Linked DNA regions of Coturnix japonica. The protein of the gene in region 1 interacts with the protein of each later gene in a biochemical or structural test. Links are inferred from orthologs where the notes say so. Each region holds a gene or a part of one and is shown on either strand. Other genes may lie near its edges.

Region 1 (5,261 bases):
TAATGTTTATCTGAGGAGCAAATGTTTTTCCAACCTGGCCTCCTGCTCCCCACAGCCACACACCACCCTGCGCCATCACACCCCTCTCGTTTGTTCACACTGTAATGTAAAAGCTGAACCTGATGACTTCGGGAGTGCTCGGACACTGCTGACAGCTCCAAGGAAGGTGCAGGTGGGCACGGGCAGCAAAGCTGGCAGTGACACAGAGCTCTGCTGCACACATTCCCTGCCACTCTGTAGCATGCACCAAGCTGGAGAGGCTGCAAGCAGAGCAGAGCCAGCATCCAACATAGGGTTAGGAAAGGGCTAAGGGGCTGCCTGACCTCCCAAACCGGATTGGGATACCTGGGGGAAGGCAGAAGGGAGCACGAGGATTTCTAAACCCTTCCCCACAAAACCGGGTGGGGCTTTACCATGAGGAACGCCAAGGGCTCAAGAATGAGTTTGCAGCCACCCTGCACCTTGCAGCACCTTATGAGCCGATCCCATCCAGCGTTCCCTGGGCGCACCCTCGGGGGCTGCAGGAACAGTGGGCAGAACAGCCCAGGTCTTTGCGAGCCTCCTATTAACGGTGCCAACCCTGGGGAGAAGAGCTCCCACGGGGCGCGGGGCCGTCCCTCCCCCATCTTTCCCACGTGCTTCTATAGACACCGCACTTTCACATCCTCCTCGGCTCCCCTCTTTCAAACTGCAGCTGAGGAAGAAAGCGAAGGGGGGGAGCTCCATTTCAGCCCCGCGATCGCTGCTTTCTTCCAGCGGGGTCTCCGAGCAGCGCCGAGCAGCACAGCCACCCTGTCCGTCCGTCCGTCCGTCCGTCCGTCCCCACCTGCCCGCTCGCGTCTGCCACCGTGACAGCCCATGCGCCCGCCGCCAAGTGCTGCGGGAACGCAATGCAAAGCCCGCTGCAAGGGGAAAAAACCCTTCACAAACAAACCGACAGACCAACCCAGAGCCGTCCCGCGGCCAGGGCTGCGCTGCCGGACTGTCAGCCCTCAGCGACAGAAAATAAAACCTTCCCTGCCCACCTCTACGGGCTGAGAGCCGAATTTAAACTGGGCGGCTACAAGAGCTTTGGCTGCGGTCTCGATAAAAGGACGGGCTGCGACTGCAGCAGCGTATCGCCCAGCTTCCCATTATCACGTTCCTGAGTCCCACACCCACTGTATCACATTCTGGGCAAAGACTCCGTTTATTTCTATCCTTATTTCAGCGGACAGTCCTATAGCACTTGGCAAAAGACGCATTCGTGGTTGTCGTGGGTTTGTTTTTTTTTTGTTTTGTTTTGTTCTGTTTTTCCGGGCGTTGTTTAAACTTTCCCACTGACAGCAACAGGATCAGACGCAGCCGACAGAGCTCTAAGCATCCCTAAAGGGGGGGATATGGGGGCAGGTGCTGCACAGCTCGGGGAGCACAGCGCTCCCGCAGCAGCCGCCAGCACCGAGCTCATGAGGTAGTTCAACATCGGCCACAGCCAGGAAGTTCTTCCTGGGACGAGCTTTCTGCACAGCCTTAAAATACCATCCCCCAGCACTCCTCACCCCCCCGGCTCAAGGGACCTAAGGTCGTGCACTTAAATTCATAACCTCTGCAAGCAGCCAGCCCACCCAAGCCACCCAGGGCAGCCTTCCACCTGTTTGCAGGAGGTTTGCTGAGTTTTAGGTTCCTTGCAGCCATTGAGGTTTAGGTGTGCTTTAGGTGAGGATCGTTATTATTACTGGGTTTTTGTTTTTCCTTAGAGGAAGGCTCATCGTTAGGAGCAGTGTGCCACGCCAGAGCCCATCGCATCTCAGAGCTACCCACTAGGCACAGTACCTTTGCAGTGCAAAAAGTCCTCAGGGTGAGGGAAGGAGCCCTCTTCGCAGAGCAGCTCGCAGGCTTTCTCTGGTGCCAGGGGGTAGCCGTTCTCCTCCTCGTTGTAGTCACTCCTGCCGTTGCTGTTTGAGTAGCCATTAGCGTACATCTTCAGAGCAGACCTGCGGAGGCACAGGAGCTCCTGGAAGGCGTACCTGAAGTCTGGGCTCCGGCAGTAGATCAGGGGATTGAAGGCAGAGTTGACATAGCCCAGCCAGTTCAAGAGAATGTACACGTACTTGGGGATGATGTCGTCCTGGATGACGTGCACGATGTTGACGATGAAGAAGGGCAGCCAGCACAGCGTGAAGGTGCCCATGATGATGCCCAAGGTCTTCAAAGCTTTGTGCTCCTTCAGGAAGAACTTGGAGGAACGGCGGTGCCCGGTTTTCCCGTTCTGGTCCTGTTCCTTGTTCTGGATGTGAAACCTGCCCTCACTCCGGTCTATCTTCTGCAGTTGCTTCTTGGCCACCTGGAAGACCCTGGCGTACACAAATACCATGACCACAAGCGGTAGGTAGAAAGAGATGATGGAGGAGGCAATGGCATAGGCTTGGTTGGTGAAGAAGTCACAGCACGTGTCCTTCTCATAGCAGAGGATGGCCTCATCACGGTCTGCCCGGTACCAGTGCATCTGGATGGGCAGGAAGGAGGTGAGGGCCGAGATGGCCCACACCATCAGGATGACCACACGTGCCTTGCTCTTGGTCAGCAGGCTCTGGTACTTGAATGGGGAGGTGATGGCAAAGTATCGATCCACAGCGATGACACACAGGGTCTCGATGCTGGCGGTGACACAAAGCACATCCAGAGAGGTCCAGAACTCACACCAAAAGTTCCCAAACTTCCACATCTCCATGATGATGTGGCAGGCACCGAAGGGCACCACACCCAGTCCCATCACCAGGTCTGCACACGCCAGCGAGGTGATGAAGTAGTTGGTGACCGTCTGCAGGCGCTGGAAGCGGGCGATGGCGGTGATCACCAGCACGTTGCCGAAGACGATGACCAGCACGATGAGCGACATGAGGATCCCCATGCCCACCACCCACACGTCCCGCGACACCGTGGGGTCTGCTGCGCTCTGGTTGGCACTGACGTTGCCGCCGGGCAGCTCGGTGCCCTCCACCCCCATGTCCCCCCAGCCGGATCCCCGGGCAGGCTGCGGGGGCTGCTCTCAGCGTTCCGATGTCGTGGCGTTTCGCCGGGCTCCGCGCATAGGGAACAGCAGGTGCGGGCTGTGAGCGGTGGCTCCCGCCGTGCGGGGCTGTACGAGCTGCGCTCCGCTCCAGATCGCCCCGCTCCTCACCCGACCCAACTCGTCCCGCAGCGTCTCACCCGCCCGACTGTCCCCAGCCCGTTCGGCGCCGCCGAGCTTATAGCAACACCCGCCGTGACATCAGCCCGACACGGCCAATGGCAGCCGGCGCCGCGCCTTGCGCGCACCTCGCACCCCCCCGTGTGCCCCCCGGCCCGGCAGCCGCCCCACGCGTGTTCCAGCTCCACGCTACAGCCTGAGAACGGAGGCGTCCGTCTCCCTCCCCACGCTGCGGTCCCGCTGCCCCCCGACACCCCGACACGGGGTTATGTGACTTCTGCGCTGCTCCCTGCCACCAAAGCGAACAAATATCCTAAATAAGGGCTGAGGGATCCTACAAACTTCAGTGTCACGAGAGATAACGTTCTGGCTGGAACGCCATGTCTGCGCATTGCTGTGCACGGAAGGGTCCCATCTCCTCGTGCTGCCGTCCCGCAGGTGGCACCGTATGTGAGCGGGGGCTGCCCGCAGCCTCTCAGCCAGCGCTATCAATACAGGAGCCGCCTGCACGCAGGGGGAGCTTTGTGGTTTAACACCGAGGGGTGAGCGAGGTGCTGGAATCAGGAAACACGATGAAGTTGCAGTTGCAGCAGCTCGTGCTTCTGGCTCAGGGGCTGTAACGGGTGGCTTTGGAATGCTTGTGAAGCAGCCAAGAGTGCAGGGGAGCACTAATGACCTTAGTTAATTACCAGGACTTTTCAGTGCCCACCATTGAGTTAAAGGGATCCACGCAATCCATGCAACGTATGGCTGCAGCCAGCTGGTGGAAGGCTGTAACATCACACTGGCTTTGCACCAGGTGAGGATCTGTTCCATCCTTGAATACAGGCTTAACACCTGCAGGCTCCTGTGCACTGAGGTTCCTGCACGGTGCATGCACCTCATGGGGAGAACACAGCAGAAAACTGCTAGGAAAATGCAGGTGGATCAGATGTAATGTTGGGGGAGAAGAGCAGGAGGGAAAAGTGATGAGTGTGGGAACTACATGTTGTGCTCAGCTCACTGTCCAATGCTCTATTTGAAGACCTGGTCAGAAAACTCTGCCAAATGATCAAGGTAAGTCTATGGTAGTAACTGGCAAGTTTGCTTCCTGTAAGGCTAACATCAGGAAATGCTCTGACACTAAATCACAACTTTCAGGAAGTATCAGGTTCCTTGTTCCAATAGACATTTCATGCTTATCCTTGCAAGAAGTGCTGTCTTGAAAGGAGGAGAGGCAGCTTTGGGAGCTTAGGAGAAAACACACTGAGTCTGGGAGGGTCGGAGCTCAGATTTGTGTCTCATAGCACATGCAGAACACACTTGAGCTGTCTGTTCATCCTGCACATCCTGGTAATGGCCCTCCATCCTTCTCCAGAGCCTCCATCACCACCATGGTGTGGGATGCAGAACTCAGCAAACCCAGCTTCTATCTCAGTATTTTGGCATTTTTAATGTTATATTCACAGCAGTTTGTGCCTTGCGTGCTTAGCGGGCCATGGTGGAAGGCAGCAGGGCTGAACTTTCTTCCTCAGTTTGGCAGCTCTCTGCTTGCTTTGGCCATCTGCTCACCTGCACGGGGTGTGCAGGGCTGCGCCCTCAGTCCAGGCTGCCTTCAGCCACGACCCAAACTGTGCAGCAATGAACAGCAACTTCAACATAAAGGCAGGATTTTGCCCCACATAAACGTCATCACCCAAAATCTGGGTTACTTCTGCGGTTTGCCTGCTTTTACTTGTGCTTTTGAGTAGTTTCAGGCTTTCTTTTCAAACAGAAATAATACCAAACATCAGAGTAGAGGCTGGGAGGAGGGTCCAGTTTGCATTCTTGCACTGCCCATAGTGCTGGGGGGCTCTGCCAACCCCACAGTGCCTCCTTCTGGGGGCCCTAGCTTGCAGGGTGTCAGAGCCAGGTGCACCCTGTTTATCTCACGCAGCACATCCCCACACTGACCCCGCTGCTTTGTCATCACGTTGATCTTTTCCTTTCACAATTGGATGTGTGCTCCTTCCTTGCGGGATGACATTTGAAGAGCGGCCAGTGGGATCAATGAGAGAGGCAAGGCTGGGAGAAAGAGGTAATCGCTTTTACCAGCCCAGCTGACACAAGTGGA
Region 2 (3,235 bases), about 1.4 Mb from region 1:
CTCAGAAGCGTCCAGTTCTGTCCTGGGGACGATGGCTCACCCACAGCCAGAGGTGCCACGTGCTGCTGCCAGCGCTGGAGCCATCCTCGTGGTCTTCAGAAAAAGACATGTAAAGTTGTAAACAAATCCACCTCGTGGGGCCACTGCTGCCTTGTCCTTCAGGCTGGGCTGTTGTTCTTCTGGGCACCCGGAGAGGCAAGAGAAGAACAGGCTGTGCTCTACAGCCGGGTCGGCTCTTCCTCACTGTCACTGCAGTTCCCACAACAGTCCTGAAGTCAGAGGGGCAACGAGAGGGAAAGAGAGAGGAGCACAGCAAGCAGAGGGTAAAGCACAGTCACAACCTGGTCTACAGCTGCCCTCTGGCAGAGAAACAAAGCTGCACCTTGGGACTCAGCTCCTAGCAGACGTAGTTGTGAGTGCATAGCTGACTGGCTCAGAAGCTGGGAGGAAGATGGGACTACAGGCACCCAGGGAGACAGCTCAGTGCCAGCGCATACAATCTGCCCTAGTCTGGACTCATCAGGTCACAGAAAGCAGCTGAAGCCCTGGGGAGGGAGCCTGAGCATGGGACAATGCCAAACGCTTCACAGTGTCTCAACTCTTCCATGTATCCAGGACATCCAAAGAGAGAAGGGATCCCTGGCCTTCTCGCAGCCCCCTGGGAACAGAGCTCCCAGCTGCAGCAGTATAGGGGCAGCTTTGGCTCAAGCTGAGGGTAAAGCTTCCCCAACAGTGGGGAAGGCAGCAAGAGCAGGGAGCAGGATTAGTGGCTCAGGGGGCAGTTAGAACAACAAACAGCTTGTGCTCTGCTGGGGGAAGGGGTCAGGCATTGAAGGATAACACTCCTCTTTCCCAGATCTCGCCATGTCCGTGGGCCACCAGGTATTTCCCTGAGCAGAGCAGCCAGGAGAGACTGCTCACCTCTGGAAAGAGAAAACGTGGCAAATCACAGCTCAGTCCCTGCCTGAGGCAGCCCATCCTTGTGCAGGTCTTGCCTGCCTACGGAAGAGCTGTGTCTTCCAGCAAGACGAACAGTTAAGCACAAATGGGAACTCGACAGGGAAGTCAGAGGCAGCACTGGGTGACTGGGAATGGGTCCAGGGCAGGCCAGAGCCAACCGTGCTCGAGTGCCACAGCTGCTAGCAGCTGTTGAGGCAGCAGCCCAGACTTTGCCAGTCCTGGAAAGAAGGCAAATACTGTTCTGGCCCAGAGGAGACATACAGGCAGGCGAGCCCACAGCAGATGCACGATGCTTCTGTTCTCCTCATCCCTAGAAAGCACTGCTCTCTCTGTCTGCTCAAGGCCTAGCAGAAGTGTTCAAGGGATCCCCAGAGCCTGTATAGACCACAGCAAGATGAAGGTCTTCTTCAGGGATGGTATTATTCACGTAGGAAGGGAGAAGACTTGCTATTTTAGAGCCGTCAGCAGCATCACTCTGTGCAACTGCAGCATGTTTAGCCAGGACACTCCATACCAGCCCCCTCAACATGCAGCAATGTGAATGTCAGCCAGGCAAGGGTTGGTTCCTTGCAGCCTTGCACAGGACTTCCCAAGAGCCCTGGGATTCAGCCCAGCAGGGGGACTCATATCTGCTGCCCCTACATTCCCACCTTCCTGACCGTTCTGCATCAGGGAGAGAGGGCTCAGGGCTGTGCAAGAAATACTGGGCATGCACTCTTACCTGTCTGCTGAAGAAGCGCTGGAGTAACCCTTTCTTGGGCTGTGGTGAAGGCTGCCCTTTCCAGTCCAGGTCTGGGGGCACTGTGCCATCTGTGCTAAACACATTCAGCTCCTTGAAACAGTCTGTCTCTATCATCTGGAAGAGGGCAAAAATGGCTGCAGCAACTGCCACACAAAGCCTGTCACTGAGAGCCCAGCAGAGTGCAAGGGCAGCAGTGACAGCAGAGTTCCTGTTGCCTGCCTTGTGGGACACTGCACACAGCCACAGTGAGCACAAGCAGGGGCAAAGACCTGTCCTGCAAAAAAGGTGTACATGCTAGTTCCCACCCACCTCGTTCTGCCAAGGAATGGGCACACTTCCTGTAGCAAACTTCTGGTAGAAGTCATTGTCTGTGGGCTCCAGTTCCACTCCTTTCACTGTGGAGAACTGCTCGATGTCCAGAACATCCTTGCAGTAGATGGCCTGGGGCTAAACAGCACAAACATTGCTCTAATGCCAGGCTGCACAGTGATAACACTCACTGAAATAACTTGGATACTGGTCAAGCATGAGCCCCTTCTACCTGCTTGCCTGAACTCTGTTCTGCCAGGCAGGGAGTACTGGTAAGACCCACTTGTGACCAGCAGCCCACCCTCAGGTAAATGGCCAGAGCAGTAGCCCCAGAAACAAAGAGGGATGGACCCCACCTCCTCAGGTGAGCCAGTGCAGGGCTCCTTCTCACCCTGACAGCAACAGTGACTGAAGAGGTGAGGAGGTGGACAGGCACTTACATCTGGCTTGAAGGGTGGATCCAGCATGCCCGCTTCCAGCCTCCGGAAGTTGAGGTGCTTGAAGAGAGGGTGCTCCTTCACCTCCCTAGCCCCTGCTCCTCGGCAGCCCAGGCGTTCCAGAGGGTCTTTGCACAGGAGCTGTAACACAAGGAAATCAGTGTGCCAGGAAGAGCATACTGGGCAGGAGCAGCCCTGGGGTTGGTGGACTCCTGCACTGTCTCCAGGAATGACATGGGCTCACAAGGCATCTGTGAGTGAGGAATTAAGGCACTCTGGACCCTCCTGCACTATGTTACCAGTGTCAGAGCAAGGGAACCTCATTCCTATCTGTGCCTCTACAGGGAGCAGTCATGATGTTTGGCTGCTGTGTGCAAAGAGGTGATAGGGGACAGGGTTGCACTCCTACCATGGTGCAGAGGGAGCGGGCACACGGCGAGAACTTCTCCGAGTACTCCTCCTGCACATCCTTCACCAACCGCTCCACCTCCTCTCGCTTGATCTTCTTCTTGCGCTGCTGGAAGGGGGACTGTCCCTCAATCATCTCATACACCAGGCAGCCCAGTGCCCACCAGTCTGGGCTGAATGTGTAGCGCTCATTCTTCACCACCTCTGGAGCTATACAGAAGCAGGAGTGAGAAAAATGTGAGATCAGGGAGAGTACAGTGCAGTGCAGTGGAGTCAGAGGCTACTTTTTAATTAAACCAGGATCACTTCTTACCCATGTAGCCAACTGTTCCCACACGTCCCTTGATTGTTTGGCCCTCAGGCACATGCACAGCCAGCC
Region 3 (5,044 bases), on another chromosome or scaffold:
CCTACACTCACCCGCGGAGCAGCTTGAAGAGCATGCAGCCCAGCGAGAACCAGTCGGCACTGCTGTCATACGCCGTTCCCTTCTGCAGCACCTCCGGAGCCATGTAGCCATGGGTACCCCTGGGGGCACAGAGCGAGGTCAGGGCCGTGCCCAGCAATCACAGGGGAGTGCCGAGATGGGCGGGCACACTCACACGCTGGCATGGGGTTTCTTCTTGGAGAAGTCACAGGCCAGTCCGAGGTCTGAGATGCGGACATGACCGAACTCATCCAGGAGGATGTTTGCTGGCTGCTGGGACATGGAGCCACCCCTGAGCCACAGCCCAGCCCACGGCCATGGGTGGCAGCTGGGCTGAGGGTGCCTGTGCACGTTAGGATGGGTGCAATATGGGGTGCAGGGATGACTGCAGGGTCCCAGAGATGCCCACAGTGCCTAGGGGCTTCCTGCTGGGTGTAGGGTGCCCATAGGACCTGGAGGTCTGTAGGGCCCCCAGATTTCCACACAGTGGGTGGGTGCTCATGGGGGCGGTCACCTTAAGGTCACGGTACACCACGAAGCAGCTGTGCATGTGCTCCAGGCCCAGGATGATCTCTGCTGCATAGAAGCGCATCTCTGCTTCCGAGAAGACGCCGTGCTGAGACAGATGATAGTGCAGGTCTCCCCCTGCAGTAACAGGCGCCAGCAGTCACCCTGGGAATGCCATGGCGGGGAGGCCAGGGGGCTGCGGTGCTGGGAATGGGGAGCAGCTATAGGCTCTCACCGTTCATTAGGTCAAGGATGAAGCTGAGCTTGTCGGGTGTGTGGAAAGCATAAGACATGCACACGATGAACGGGCAGTCCTGGCCAGGGAGAAGATGTCATGCCAAGCCAGCTGTGCCTCAGCACCCCGCATCACCCTGTGCCCTTAATCCCCTCACCCCTGTGCTGACAAGGGACAACATGATGCGCTCGTTGAGGGCCAGCGTCTCACCCTGCTTCATCTTGATGCGCTTCTTGTCCAAGCACTTCATGGCATACCTGGGGGCAGAGAGTCCCTGTGGGGTCCTGCTGCTACCTGGACCCACCACGCCCACTCTTTGACATCTGTGGTCAGACAGCTCCTTCCCCCAACTACCATGATGTATTGCCCCAGAAGGTGGAGACACAGCAATGCTCTGGCACCGCTAAATGCCCACCATCACGGCAACACCGCTCACCCCCCCTGCCCACAAGAACAGAGCTCCCCAGCCCCATTACATTTTGCCTGTGTCTGCTTTCCGGCAGCCGTAGACCTCCCCAAAGCCACCGCGACCGATGATGCGATGAACACTGAAGTCATTCATGGTGAGCTGAAGTGGATCAGAAAGAGGGGATCACCCGATGGTAGCTACCCCCTGTGTGTCCTGGGGGGGTCCCATACCCTGCCTCAGTCTCCTGGAGCTCCCTTAGAACCAGGACCCATATTCCCTCCCTGGCTGTATCCCGAGGAGCAAGGTCTCACATGGATGTTCAGCTCCACATTCTTCCACTGGCAGAACCGCGTGAACTTGTCGCTGCAAGGAAGCACAGAGAGGGTGAGAGCGAGGGACCCCTGGGGAGACCTCTAAGACGCAAGGAAGGGCAGAGGAGATCCGTATTGTGGAGAGGACCCCATGTGGGAAAAGAGACCCCAGGCCAGAACTGGGAGTGACACTGGCCCAACTCTCCAGTGTGGGGACAGACAGCACTGGAACTTCTCAGCAGGAGCCCTGCAGCACCCTGAGAGACAGATCTCCCTGGGCAGTGCTCCTGTCTCACCTCTCAATGAATTTCTGGAAGATGCTCCCACGCAGGTTCTGGCAGATCTCCTCAATGTAGGGCTATGGGTAACACGGGGGTCAGCATTACATCCCCAGTACCACCCAGGTCCGCCCCATTCCCTGCAGGTCCCACCTCTAGGTGGGATATCTCACACCTCCACTACCACCTTCTGCCACCCAAGGCCAGCTGTCTCTGGTGACCCCAGTGCCACCATCCCCTCCACGTCACGGACAGCACTTACCTGGAAGAGGTCTGGGGGCACCTGCTTCTTGCTCAGGAGGCTCTGCACGTGCTCTGTAGCACTCTTGGAGAATGGCTGCAGGGCAGGACAGCACCACATCACCGTGAGGAGGTGGACACGGTGGTGGAATCTCCTGTGGCTTGGCACGATGAGGCACAGCACTCACATGGGAGCAGGCCAGCAGCTCCTTCATGATGTAATGGTCGTAGATCTGGCGGCTCCTGCTCAGGCGCTCCTCCTCCGAGTCCAGCTTCTCGTATTTCTTGATCTGCCAAGGACACAGATTGCATGGTGAAGAGGGCACAGCCCCACAAGGAGCACACAGTGCACAGTGTCTCGTGGACACCTGTGGATATCAGGACCCTGGGCACTGAGTGCATTGCTTCCAGGCATCCAGGGCACCACCTCCCCCAGGTGCATCAGAGGGTACCCCATCCCCAGCCCCACATCACACCTCTTCGTAGAACTCCATCAGGGACTTGGCTTCCTCAGCCTGGTTGAGGGCGAAGTCCCGGAACAGCAGGTACCCTGGGGTAGAGGCAGTGCTGCGAGCGGTGACCGCATCACAGTGTGGCACCCAGGCCGAGCGATGTGGTGCCACACAACAAGAGCACAGCAGGCTGAGAAGGGCTGTGGGGCTGCCAGAGGAGGGCTATGGAGCTAAGCAGGGCTGTGGGGCTGCCAGAGGAGGGCTGTGGGGCTGCCAGAGGAGGGCTATGTGGCTGCCAGAGGAGTGCTATGCGGCTGCCGGGAGGGCTACTAGGCTGCCAGAGGAGGGCTATGGCGCTGAGCAGGGCTATAGGGCTGCCGGGAGGGTTATGGGGCTGCCAGAGGAGGGCTATGGGGCTGCCAGAGGGCGGAGGTGCCGGAAACCACCAGAGCCGCGGGGAGGAAGCAAGAGGCGCTTCCTGCCCAGGACAGTTAGTGCGAGGGGAAGCGGCGGGGCGGGGCAGGGCGGACCGAGGGGGGGGGGGGGGAGGACCCCACCCAGCCCCTCCGCAGCCCCACGGCGGCGCCCGCAGCCCCCACTCACCGATTCTCTGCGCAAAGATCTTGTCGAAGGTTAATTCGCCCCTTTCCTCGAGGTACTTCTGCATGACGCTGCGGATGCTGGGGGGCGGCCGGGGCTCAGCTCGGCCCACACTGCCCCATACTGCCCCTACGCGCCCCGGTGGTGTCTGGGGACGGGGGCTCCGTAGGGGCACGGCGGGGCCGAGGGCGGCAGGGCAGGCAGGGCCCGGCCCGGTGCCCCCGACCCGACGGCACTCACCTGGGCTCGGGCAGTAGGATCCGTTTGGAGGCGCGGGCGGCGGGTGCGGCCCGGCTTTTCTCCATGGCCATCAGGTAGCTCACGTCGGCCAGCACAGCCTCCAGATCCGCCATCTTGCGCGGGGCCGAGGCCGGCACCGGCCCGACCCCCAGCAGCGACCCGGAAGCGGAAGTAGGAGCAGCCGGAAACGCGTTGGGCTGGGCCCGAGCTGTGCGCGGGGCTGAGCCCGGAGCTGCAGTATGGCAGTAGTTGCAGTAATGCTGGAGGAGCAAAGATGTCCAACCCAGCTCCGCAAACAACCCAACAACCAACAACCAGCCAGGAACAAACGGCCCCTCCGTGCCCCCAACACCCCCCGGCCCCAACGCAGAGAGCGCACGCGACTTGGTTTTGCTTGAACCCTTAACGCTTACATTTAATTTGAAAGCACAAACATCGGCTGGACTCTAAATTGCCAACAAAAAATATATATTTACAATATGTCTCCGAGGGGGGAGAAGGGAGGAGGGGGGGGTCGAAACGGAACGAAAACACAACGAAACCTTTAAACGATGGGGAGTTGTTGCGGGAGGCAGCCGGGCGCGGTGCGGGCGCTTTAAATCACTGAGCGATCCCATATACAGAACTCTCTCTTTGTGTATTGGGAGCTCGCTGTCCCTGCGGGGCTATGGGGCTGTATGGAGGGGCTGTATGGGGGGGGTCCCGCACCGCTCCCCTCGCTTCTGTCCTGGTGGCAAAACTCAAACAAATGAACCCAAGAAGAAAGAAAAACGCCGCAGCAACAGCCACCAGGACAGAGATGGGGGCTCTGCCCCCTCCTTCCCTAAACCCCCCCCAGCGCTGCTCACAGCCCGCCCGCAGCCTCCTCTCCTCCCTTATTGCTTCTGGGGGCTGCGCTGTGCCATGCACCGGGGAGAGGAGCAGCAGCCGGGCACGGGCAGGGAGGGGAACGAAAGAGCGACCCAAAAGATGCCAACTTTTTTTTTTCTTTTTTTTTCCCTCATATCTTGAGTTTTTTTTCCGATTTTTTACTTTTAATTTTTTTTGCTTTTTTTTTTTTGTTTTTTTGTTTTTTTTTTCTTAAAGTGCAAAAAGCTCTCTGCTGCCCAAGAGAGAGGTTCTTTGGACCAACCGCTCATTGCAAAGGAAAAAACGGCAGCTAAAATGGGGTGGGGGGGAGGGTGGGAGATGAGAGGACAAGGCAGCGAGGCAGCCCTGCCACACGAATGTCAGCGCTCGGCCGTGGTAGGCAGCTGGGGAGGGAGATGCAGCAGCTTCCTCCCCCCCCCCCCCCCCCCCCCCCCCCCCCCCCCCCCCCCCCCGTGCTCACTCACCCGCGGCTGATTATTCGAGTCCTCCCTGAGCTCTGGGGGCTGCTCCCCCAGCCGAGCCTCGGCCACTGCCTGTGCACAGGGCTCTGAGGAAGCGCCCCAGGGTGGAAGCCCCATCCCCAACCTTGCCGCCATGCCCAGGCTGGAGGGCTCCTGCCCTCGCTGCTGCAGGGGAAGAAAGGAATCCAAGGGCTGGGTGAGGGGGTTTAGAGCAGGGCTCGAGCTGGTGGTGGCACCGAGAGAGAGGGCCCGTCCCAGCTCTGCTCCCTCCTCCTTGGAGAGGCCTCAAGCTTTGTGCTAACAGGGAAGTGACAAGTGTTTCAAGGCAAGGAGCTGGGGAAAAGTAGGGGGAAGAGGGTGCGCCCCGTTTCTCCACCCAGGGATCTCGGCAACAACCTCCACCTTGGGAGCTCCCTGCTGCGG
Region 4 (4,950 bases), on another chromosome or scaffold:
ACGCCCAGCTGGGGACCAAAGGTTACGGCAGGACGTACCAGCAGCCAGCTGTGTCCATGTGCTGGCCGGGAGCTGCCCAGTGCATCCCCTGTGCTCTGCATGGGATGTCAGATGGGGCTGCAACACAACAGCACGGCTGCTGCAATGCTCCAGGTGGGCCATGATGTGCCAAGTCCAAAAAGCAGAGCTGACAGAGCCGGGAGGGAGCGGAGCTGCAGCACATCGTGTCCCGTCCATGGCTGCAGGAGCAGCTCCAAGCAGGGCACACAGTGCCTGGTGTCGGAGGGACCCCAGCCTGCACAGCACAGGAGCAGCAAAACGCCCGGGGTGCCCACAGCTCCCAGCGCAGTAACAGCACCCAATGAGCAGCATCTGCAGCCCCAGCTCACAGGAAGCTCCTGCAGCCCCGTGAGCAGCAACAAGCTGCAGGCAGCTCCCAGCAGCCGGCAGAAACACGGGCTGCGAGGACAGCCAGGCCAGCACATTCACACGGGTCCTGAAATCTGGCACACGCGCCGGGGCCCCATACAAAGGGGATGCAAAGCAGCCTCTTGCAGCATCCCTGTCACGTAGGGCCAGGCTGGAGCTGCTTTTCATGCAGCCCACTCCTGCTCCCGAGCACAGTTGGCTCTAGAAGTAATTTAATACATTTCTCAGTTCAGCTCTCCCTGCACAATGCACCCAGCTGCACTCACCACACCCCAACCTGCACCCGGGGGCTCAGATGGGTTTTGCAGGGGAGAGCAAGCGCTGCATTCAGCATCTGAGCACTGTGAGCACTGGGCACAGCTGGCGCTGGGCAGCAGGAGCAGTGCTGCAGTGAAAGCCCGGCACGAGGAGCTGTATCAAAGCACTGCCGTGCAGCTGAAGCCTCCGGAAACACGGTGTGGGGCGGGGGGCCACCACCCACAGACAAACACCGGGGACAGTCCCATGTGGTGCAAAGCCCCAGCAGGGCTCAAGTTGTGTTCTGCCACCTGGGGCCACCCCCAGGACCCTAAAGCCATGCCCGCTGTGGGTGGGTGCACTCACGGGCGTCCTGAAGCCCATCATGTCCCCTGGGGTGGCATCCAGCTGTGGCAATGCTCCCTGCTAAGGGGGACCGTGTCCTGGCCGAGGTGTTAAGCGCTCGGAGCAGCACAGAGCAGCACAGAGCAGGAAGGCTGACAGCCGGCCGCTGGCAACACGCGTCTCCAAGCCTGCATGCAAATAAAGGCCAGCCCTGCCCCACAAAGCAAACAGGACTCTGACACACACGGACTCGCCGCGCTCCTGCCGGCACCGATCCCGGGAGAATCCCCACCACGGGGCGGCCGGGCACGGCCCGGGGGCACAACCCGCCCCGCTCGGTGGCTCCGCTCCCAGCGCCGTCCTGCGGCTCCTCCGGGTTCCCCAGGCTGGGAACCGGCCCCAGCCCCGCGGCTTCCGGCGACCTGTTGTGAAACCACCGGGCTGCACCGAGATCAGCCCGTGTCAGCAGCGTCACCGACTTCCTGCTCCCACACCGACAGGAGCTGTCAGCGGTAACCGCACGGAACCGTCCCACCCCCGCACGGAGCTGCGCACCGAGGCGTGCAGGGCAGGGCGCTCCCCGGCCCCATCAGCCGCGTCCCAATGAATCCTTCCAGCTCACGGAGCAGAGGGCGCAGCACAGAAGGACTCGGTGGCCGGGGGGGACGCGAGCACTGCGCCATATGTTGGATGCCGTGGGAGCACAGCCTGCTCGTTCCCACGCAGCGTGTCCTGCCCTGAGACTCCAGCTGGGGCGACGTGCACCCTGCGGCCACCAGAGCCCACGGGCGGCCCGTGGGAGCTTTAGACAAAGGGAAGAGTCAGCGCTGGGTGACAGCAGCACCTCGCCCTGCAGGACAACAGCTCGGCACCGCGGGCGGGTTGCAGGAGCGGAGCGCAGCTCTGTGTCACGGCCTCCCAGGAAGCGCCTCGGTCGCAACAACAAATACTTGTTTTCACCGAGCAAACAAAAAGCGGCTTTATCCGCGGCAGCCCCGAGCGTCCCTTAGAAACTGCTGCGGGCAGGAAAGGTCAGCGGGTCTCCATTCCTCACCCCTCTGCAGCGCCCTGTTTGTGCAACCGCTGACTCCTACGTGCTTCGGACATTCTGAAACCCGAAGGGCTCCGCGTTCCCCATCCCCGCGGCGCGGCTGAAGCCGGGCAGTTCAGGGCAAGAGCGGCCGGCGCAGCACGACGCCTCCCCTCGCCAAATCCTATTTGCATTTCAGAGGCAGTTAACGCCAAAAGCCTCGGGGCGACCCGGCACCTGCTCTGTTCTCTTCTTTGGAGGTGACGACGCAGCGCTGGGGGCTGGAAGTGAGAACTCCCGGAGCGAGCAGAGCAAACAACAGCAAAACCCAAAGCAAAGGACACACGGCGGCAGGAGGCCGGGCCGGGCCGGGCAGCCCCCCGTGCTCACGCGTCGCCATCAAGCTCCCCCCGCCCCCCCCTCGCCACACGCCTGACCCCGTTTCGCTCCTGCGGCACAAGGACGGAGCGGGGGGGGCGCGACCCGACGGGCCGAGACCTGAGCGAGGAGCGAAGCCCCGGGGGCACCGGGCCGGCCCTACGTGCGCCAGATGCCGCCCGCCCCGCCCCGCCCCGCACTCACTGTGTCTCCGTGGCCGCCCCGCTCCGCCGGGGGCTCCCGCTGCTCGCGGCCGTCGGTGTCGCCGTGTGTCCCGGGCGGCTCCTCGCGCAGCGGCTGCACCACGAGCAGCCGAACAGCCCCGGCCGCGGCCCGGATCCGCTCCACCACCTGCTGGTGACTCTCCCGCTCCACGTTCGTCCCGTCCACCTCCAGCAGCCGGTCCCCGGCGCGCAGCCCCGAGCGCTCGGCCGGCGACCCCGCCTCCACCTTGCGGATGAACTGGCCCGCTTTGCCCTTCTCGCCGTGCAGGTGGAAGCCGTACCCGTCGGGGCCCTTCTCCATGCAGCACAGCCGCGGCGCGGCGGGTCCCGGCGGAGCGGAGCTCATGGCGGCCGAACTACGACCCGCGACTCAACGCTCTGCGCCCGCCCGCCACCGGCGGCGGCTTTTATACCGCGGGGCGGGGCTGGAGGCGGAGCCGGCCAATCAGAGAGGGAGGGGGCGGGCTCAGGACGGCGATAAGGCGGAATTATGCAAATAACGACCGGTTATGCAAATAAGGGAGTGGGCGGGGTTATGCAAATGTAGCCCCGAGGGCGCGGGCAGCGGAACCGCAACGCGACGGAGCGACCCACCGGGACCCAACGGGACACACCGGGACACACCGGGACCCACCGGGACCCAACGGGACCCAACGGGACCCAACGGGACCACCCGGATCACACAGCATCACACAGCATCATCACACAGCATCGCCATTCAGAGCCGGTTACGGGGGCTACGAAACGCCCCGGGATGGGAGATCAGCGCGGGTGGGAAGGCAGAGCGGGAGGGGATGGGGGGGGTGGTGCCCTTTGGGGAGCGCTCCTCTCGTTCAGGAAACGAGCCCCGGCCCCGGTAGCGGCGGTTGTAGCGCGGGGCTGCGATAAGAAACGAGCCCAGAGCGACAGGAAACACGGAGCTGCTGCTGCGGCCCGTCCCGACAACAGCTGCGACCCACAGAGCGGACGGGTCCTGGGGGGTCTGTACAGCCCCGCACAGCCCCGTACAGCTCCGTACAGCTCCGTACAGCTCCGTACAGCCCCGCACAGCTCCGTACAGCTCCGTACAGCTCCGCACAGCTCCTGCAGCGCCGGCACAGCCCGGCTGAGGGTGGGAAGCAGCGCGGAGCCAAGAGCCGCTTGTGCTGAATGTCCGGCATTTTTCGCAGCCATGAGCCGAGAGGCGGCAGCTGATGCCATTGGTGGGAAGCCGGAGTTATTTGGGGAATGCTGGACTCCGCACCATGAGAACAGCAGGGGAGGAGGTTGGTTTTAATTTAACAGGCCGTGTTTATTCTTCCCCTCTCACCTTTGGACTGTCTGAAATGTGCGGCCCGAGCGCTGGGAGTTGGAGGGGGCTGCGGGCTCTTCCCCCGCTGCGTGCCCCACATCCCATTCCCCGCCGTGCTGTACGGCCGCCCACGTGGAGGGCCCGGGGCAGGGATTTCTCACACAGAGAAAAACAGGCAGATGCAAAGCCTTGAAAATATCCAGCTTTAATCTGTGCACTTGCAAAGAGGGACCCGAGGGGGGCGCGGGGGTGAAGGGGGCTCTGGGAAAGGGGGGTCCTCGTGGGGATGGATGTGACCAATTGACCCCAAGTGCATCAGAGTGGTGCCCTCTGCAGCTGCCCTTGGCATCTGGAGCAGCACACCCAGATATTCCCCGTCTCCCTGCCCCGTACAGCACAGTGCCCGGGGTGTGATGCCATGGGCCACTTCAGCCCCATCCACAGCCCAAGTGATGGGTTTGTCTGGAACGACTGGGAAGAAAAAAGCTTTTCCCTCAAAGGGAAGTAAATAACAATAGAAAAGCTTCCAATTTCTGCAGCTGCAAGAGGGGAAAACAAAGCTTTTCCAAAGTGCTGCGTGTACTGGAAGTGCCCTCAGCGGCCACCGGGTGCTCCGGGGGTGTCTGTATGTGGTGCCAACTGCAGCGGGATGGACAGGCAGGGACACCCCAGCACATGGGCCGGGCTGATGCTGACAGCGTGGTTGGGGCACTCGGGATGATCCTGGCACAGCCCCACAGGGCAATGGGATCCAGCCCTGCTCAGAGCCCTGCAGGAACAGAGCCGTGACCCTCTGCTCCACCATGGGCAGGATTTGGCCCTGCTCCTCCCAGCCCACCATGCCCAGGGCAGCCACTCCGTGCCCATCCCCATCAAAGGAAGGCGCAGCAGCTGGATCTCTTCTGCTGCTCCTCAATGTAGTCGTGGATCTGGAAGCGTGGCTCCTCTGGCAGCTGCACCGCTCTCTGCTTCAGCTCCCTGGGGACAGTGGGGACGTGTCACCCCTCAGAGACACC
Region 5 (4,523 bases), on another chromosome or scaffold:
TTGGTTGAACTTAAGCTAGGATTGCGCCCACGCGTATTTCATAGCCTTGCGCTGTTGCCACGTGTGGGTTAAGCATGTAATTTCAAAGTGAAGGGAAAGTACATGTCAAATCCTGAAGCCCTGTTTCATAATACACATCACAGTGATCAAGATTGTGTACGCAATACAATATTCCCAGGAGAAAACCGTCCTCTCAATCTCGCACATCAGCAGCTGCACACTCTAAAAAGCATCAGAAGAAATGCAAGCTTAGAGAAATAATGATTTACCTGGTGCAATTCTCCCATCTTGCGCAGCAGGTCCATCTTTTAACACGTTCTTCACCTGGAGAAACTCATCAGGCCTGTCCCCTCCGATGATGGTAAAACCAAAACCCATCGTGCTTTTTTTCAGTGAGGTCCGTATAAGTGCTCCTATAAGCTGGGAGGGATCTCTAGTGAAGAGAGACTTCTCTGCCCCTGTGCATGATAAGATGCAATATAATCAACCATCAGCAATGCTGCTTTATGGCGGCCACTACATCTCCAAAGTACGGTGACCACAAGCACACGTAAAACAGACAATCAGAGAATTAAGGAAGATATCTTAAAGCCTGGCTACCAAACTTGCATGTTTTCCAAACTGTATTACAGATTAAAACAGGGGACAAATGAAATCTCCCACCTCTAATTTCTGGTTTTACTCTCTTACCCTTGACGTCAATATATATTTAGTGATACCTGATTTTGAAGGGCCACCATCAGTCTGTCCCAGTTGTTTTTTCCTTTTGGCTTCCAACACTGGGTTTTCAAACTGAGTTTTCTGGTTAATGTGACTGTAGACAAAAGGTAGATTAAGGTATCAGAGGAAACCATCCTGCCTGCACCATCCCAAGAGACAACCCACAAATACTATTGCTTGAATGAATTCCAAACTATCAGAATCAACATGGAATGTCTTTTGTTTTTATTTCCTTTCAACTTGATTTACTTTAAAAAACAACGTGATTTCACTTGTAACCAATTGGGAGAGTATACCTTCATCCCACTCCACAAACTTCCAAGCTCATTCCTATTTATTAATTACTATCATTGCTACTTGCTTTCCTTCCCTAGAAGAACTTCACTCCAATATGTCAGCACAACCATATTATGGTCCTTCAGTGATTTAGAAATGTGCACAGCAGCCTCTAGAACTTATCTTTACTCAGTGCAATCTATATACACTGCTATGCAACTGCTTCCCTGCATTCTGCTCAGCTTGTGCCTATTCCAAATTAATACTCAGCACTTACTCAACGTAATATGTTCCATACTGTGGATCTTCTATTTTTTCCCATCCATAAGGAAGTTCTGCAATCAGAAAGAACAAAATTCTCCACTACTTTGGAAAACTACCTGCAAATATCAGCACTCTTACAAAAAAAGGACAGATGAAAAACATGAATTAAACAGAAATCACTTTTTTTTTCCCCTTTTTTTGTTTGAGACTTTTCTTCTGATGAGAAAACATTGGCTTATTCCAAGGAACCTGAAGCCCTGCACCTCTCACTCTGTTCCACTGGATCAGACTTCTATTTAACAAAACCACATCAATTTAAGTCTGTAGTAAACTTAGACCCAAATTAACCTATTTGGGAAGGAAGAACATATGAAAGGGGATAGAAAACACAAAGTCTGGTGAGATGGTAAGCAGCAGCAGATCATTAGTGACTAGAGGTGGCAGGCAGTTAAAACAGAGGTCCAATTACTTTAGCTTTACTGTTCTAGTTACCATGACCAGGGAAATTTAAATAGCTGAATAATTGACACAGCCAGGTAACCAGACATTCCGAGGGATAAAATTTCTGTGTAATCTTGTTTGAGGCTGCCCTAAGTTTGAAGGTACCAGCAATTTTCCTTGCATATGACAGCATGTTACCACTTATTAGTATCAGCATCACTCCACAGGATTTGACAAAAGACCCAGGGGGGCTATTCATTTAAACGTTGTTCATTTGGATATCCTGCATCTCTCCGTTTCAAGTGCTCTTTTTATCCTGTGGTGTGCTGCACGTATGTTTAACAAGCAGCGGTATGAGTCCATTGCTCCAGCTGGCTTCATTATGAATACATGATTGTTAGCCTGTGCAATTTAAGGAGATGACAGGCTGTTCTGAATCTGCCTCAGCTTTTGTAATGTGCGTTTGCTGAAGACTGAGCTACTTGGTGCTCCTTTTTTGGCTGACTAAATCACAGACTACATAGGAAATGGATACAGGTGTCGTCTGTGGGTCAGTCGTGAGCCTGACTTACAAGTCTTGAAACAGCAGCATGAAGAGCTGTTACCCCTACTAACACATTCAAATGTTATACCATAAAGCTTGTGATACACATTACTAGCAATAGGTATTACACTGCATCTTCATTCTGCATATATTCTAGTATTTATGGACCTTTTATCCCTGCCATGTTCCACCCACATAAAAATTTCCAGCACGATTGCTGCTGATATATCCAGCTTTCTCCTTAGCAATGATACTCACTGGAACAACATATATCATTCTCTTCTCAGGAATGCAGATACATCCATGATTCAGTCAGATTCCACGGCTCCAGGAAAAATCCATTATGGTCTTTCCCAGTCTTATGTGGACTCTCACTACCACTGAACTATGGATACTCAGCACTACACTCTATTTGCTCCAGTGGCACGTGTATCAGCAGTAAGTTTCTGTCACAGCAGTAATGGATCTCAACTAGCCCTGATAAACTCAACCATTGATCAGCCACAGTAACAAACAAGCTCTAAATATCTCACCTCCATCTTCACAATCTTCAGGAGCTTTGGCTTTCTTACAGAGCCGTGGATCGAGCCATGTTGTTGTCTTTGTGTTGTGGCTGCAGAGCAAAACAGCCCATTAAAAGAAGAGGACTTCCTCAGACTCAAGAAATTTCACTTTACCTTAAATATTTACTACCTCGGTCAAACCATAGTCATTAGATAACCTAATCCCTGCTTATGCCTCAGTCAAATGCTAAATAGAAAAGGTGACAACGATACTCAGAGGTGCCAGCATTGGAGACTCCTGAGGACAGATGTGAAACATGAGAGGAATGCTCTCCTGTGCCCCAGAAAGCTCACGTGGAAACACCATCTATTTCTACCTGAAAGCAGCAAACGCTTTTAGTTGTATAATTAACATTCAATTGGGTTTTTATTTCTTTTCACCTCAGAATTCATAATTGAGGCTATTTCACATGTGCACACATGAACTGCTTTTCTATCCTGAGCTTTAATCTATGCTGCTCATCTTTTCAAGCAGGCATTCCCAGCCAAGGAACTCATGCTGAGAAGAAAGAACACGCAAGTTCTCAGATGTCAGAGAGATTTGTCATTGTAAAAGTTCATATGATGCTATACCTTCCCTACCAACATCCAGCCAGCTTTGCATTTTATGAGATACATAACTCACATTGCAAACTGACTATGCACGTGGAGCCATAACACTTCCCTGCACAACAGCAATCAAATACGTAGCATAAATGATTAACAGTAAGGAACAAATGACAGGAAATATATAAAATTAAATATATAGGAATATAAAGTAAAAGAACAGGACAGGTCTAAGAGCATTAGGCAGCTACCCAGACTGTGGCTCTTCAGCACGTATCTTTCCTGCTGGCAGTGTTGGGCTACTCACTCGATGAAGTAGATCATGCCAGTGTCAGTGTAGGCCATCTCCCAGTTCTTGGGCAGAGGTTCCAGGGTTTCATCCCTTGACATGTAATTTCTGAAGTCCATGGAGCTGCTTGTCTGGTTGTAACTGGGAACAGGTTTCATCCAGTCAGAAGAATCTGAGTGTTTTTCTTTGTTTTCTGCAGTTGTTCAGGGAAAGCATTACTATTTGTCAGATGCTTATGCTGTTTCTCACTAAGCACCACCCTCTTAATCTGGCTATGAGAGAATGTCAAACACGTCCCTGGATGTGATGAGCATTTTTCCACTTTTTTTTTTTTTTTCCAGCTATGGACTTTGAAAAGCTGACATGAAAAAACTGAACTCTGTTCTGCCCCTGCCAAAGAGAATTAACCTCATATTATTTGTCTGAGCCTACGCTACAAAATCAGCACGGGCAGGAATGCGAGCTGACTAATTTGTTTCCCTCCTCACACAGAGAACAGCGTTTGTAATACCACCAATAAACAAATAGGAGTTCTACTATTATTCCTCAAAGCACCAACATTAAAACATAGAAAAGACCCAAACTGCCAATAAGTGAAACACACCTTTTTCATGCAAGCTACAAGGAGCAAAACCTCCTCAAAATCCCTGCTAACACTTCATGCAGGCCTCAGCTTGGTACTTCAAAGGTTATGCCTGGCATCCTCAGCCACACTATGGTGCCCCTGACTTTCACATCACCACCAGCCAGGCCACTGGGTGCTCTGTGCTGTGGCATTGCCAGCATTAAAGCTAGCAAGATTAGGTCAGGTCCGGTCAATATAAGTCTTTCTTAAACGCTCACAAACAGGATCGTCTGCAAATTCAATGTGACGGCTTCT

Evidence for each region.
Region 2: the proteins of ADRB2 (region 1) and GRK6 form a complex in vitro, tested with the Homo sapiens proteins (2 studies listed by BioGRID, with this or other methods). The link is inferred for Coturnix japonica from reciprocal best matches to the Homo sapiens genes ADRB2 and GRK6.
Region 3: the proteins of ADRB2 (region 1) and GRK2 form a complex in vitro, tested with the Homo sapiens proteins (2 studies listed by BioGRID, with this or other methods). The link is inferred for Coturnix japonica from reciprocal best matches to the Homo sapiens genes ADRB2 and GRK2.
Region 4: the proteins of ADRB2 (region 1) and SLC9A3R1 form a complex in vitro, tested with the Homo sapiens proteins (3 studies listed by BioGRID and IntAct, with this or other methods). The link is inferred for Coturnix japonica from reciprocal best matches to the Homo sapiens genes ADRB2 and NHERF1.
Region 5: the proteins of ADRB2 (region 1) and MAGI3 form a complex in vitro, tested with the Homo sapiens proteins (2 studies listed by IntAct, with this or other methods). The link is inferred for Coturnix japonica from reciprocal best matches to the Homo sapiens genes ADRB2 and MAGI3.

The regions. Positions count from the first base shown.
Region 1 is NC_029528.1:10,594,069-10,599,329, forward strand, and holds the start of ADRB2 (beta-2 adrenergic receptor), read right to left. Parts: upstream 3,209-5,261; 5' UTR 2,987-3,208; coding exon 1,813-2,986; intron 1-1,812. UniProt on the Homo sapiens protein: Beta-adrenergic receptors mediate the catecholamine-induced activation of adenylate cyclase through the action of G proteins. The beta-2-adrenergic receptor binds epinephrine with an approximately 30-fold greater affinity than it does norepinephrine.
Region 2 is NC_029528.1:11,947,571-11,950,805, reverse strand, and holds part of GRK6 (G protein-coupled receptor kinase 6), read right to left. Parts: coding exon 3,170-3,235; intron 3,067-3,169; coding exon 2,858-3,066; intron 2,590-2,857; coding exon 2,452-2,589; intron 2,150-2,451; coding exon 2,012-2,149; intron 1,817-2,011; coding exon 1,682-1,816; intron 924-1,681; coding exon of another isoform or gene 918-923; exon of another isoform or gene 270-917; coding exon 219-269; 3' UTR 1-218.
Region 3 is NC_029520.1:139,292-144,335, reverse strand, and holds the start of GRK2 (beta-adrenergic receptor kinase 1), read right to left. Parts: upstream 3,567-5,044; 5' UTR 3,404-3,566; coding exon 3,291-3,403; intron 3,131-3,290; coding exon 3,054-3,130; intron 2,549-3,053; coding exon 2,475-2,548; intron 2,289-2,474; coding exon 2,187-2,288; intron 2,096-2,186; coding exon 2,021-2,095; intron 1,839-2,020; coding exon 1,777-1,838; intron 1,533-1,776; coding exon 1,481-1,532; intron 1,329-1,480; coding exon 1,237-1,328; intron 1,018-1,236; coding exon 918-1,017; intron 840-917; coding exon 761-839; intron 664-760; coding exon 533-663; intron 292-532; coding exon 194-291; intron 120-193; coding exon 12-119; intron 1-11. UniProt on the Homo sapiens protein: Specifically phosphorylates the agonist-occupied form of the beta-adrenergic and closely related receptors, probably inducing a desensitization of them. Key regulator of LPAR1 signaling.
Region 4 is NC_029533.1:9,144,761-9,149,710, reverse strand, and holds the start of SLC9A3R1 (Na(+)/H(+) exchange regulatory cofactor NHE-RF1), read right to left. Parts: upstream 3,037-4,950; 5' UTR 2,990-3,036; coding exon 2,624-2,989; intron 1-2,623. UniProt on the Homo sapiens protein: Scaffold protein that connects plasma membrane proteins with members of the ezrin/moesin/radixin family and thereby helps to link them to the actin cytoskeleton and to regulate their surface expression. Necessary for recycling of internalized ADRB2.
Region 5 is NC_029541.1:3,744,603-3,749,125, reverse strand, and holds part of MAGI3 (membrane-associated guanylate kinase, WW and PDZ domain-containing protein 3), read right to left. Parts: intron 3,837-4,523; coding exon 3,662-3,836; intron 2,859-3,661; coding exon 2,779-2,858; intron 1,332-2,778; coding exon 1,274-1,331; intron 815-1,273; coding exon 720-814; intron 459-719; coding exon 270-458; intron 1-269.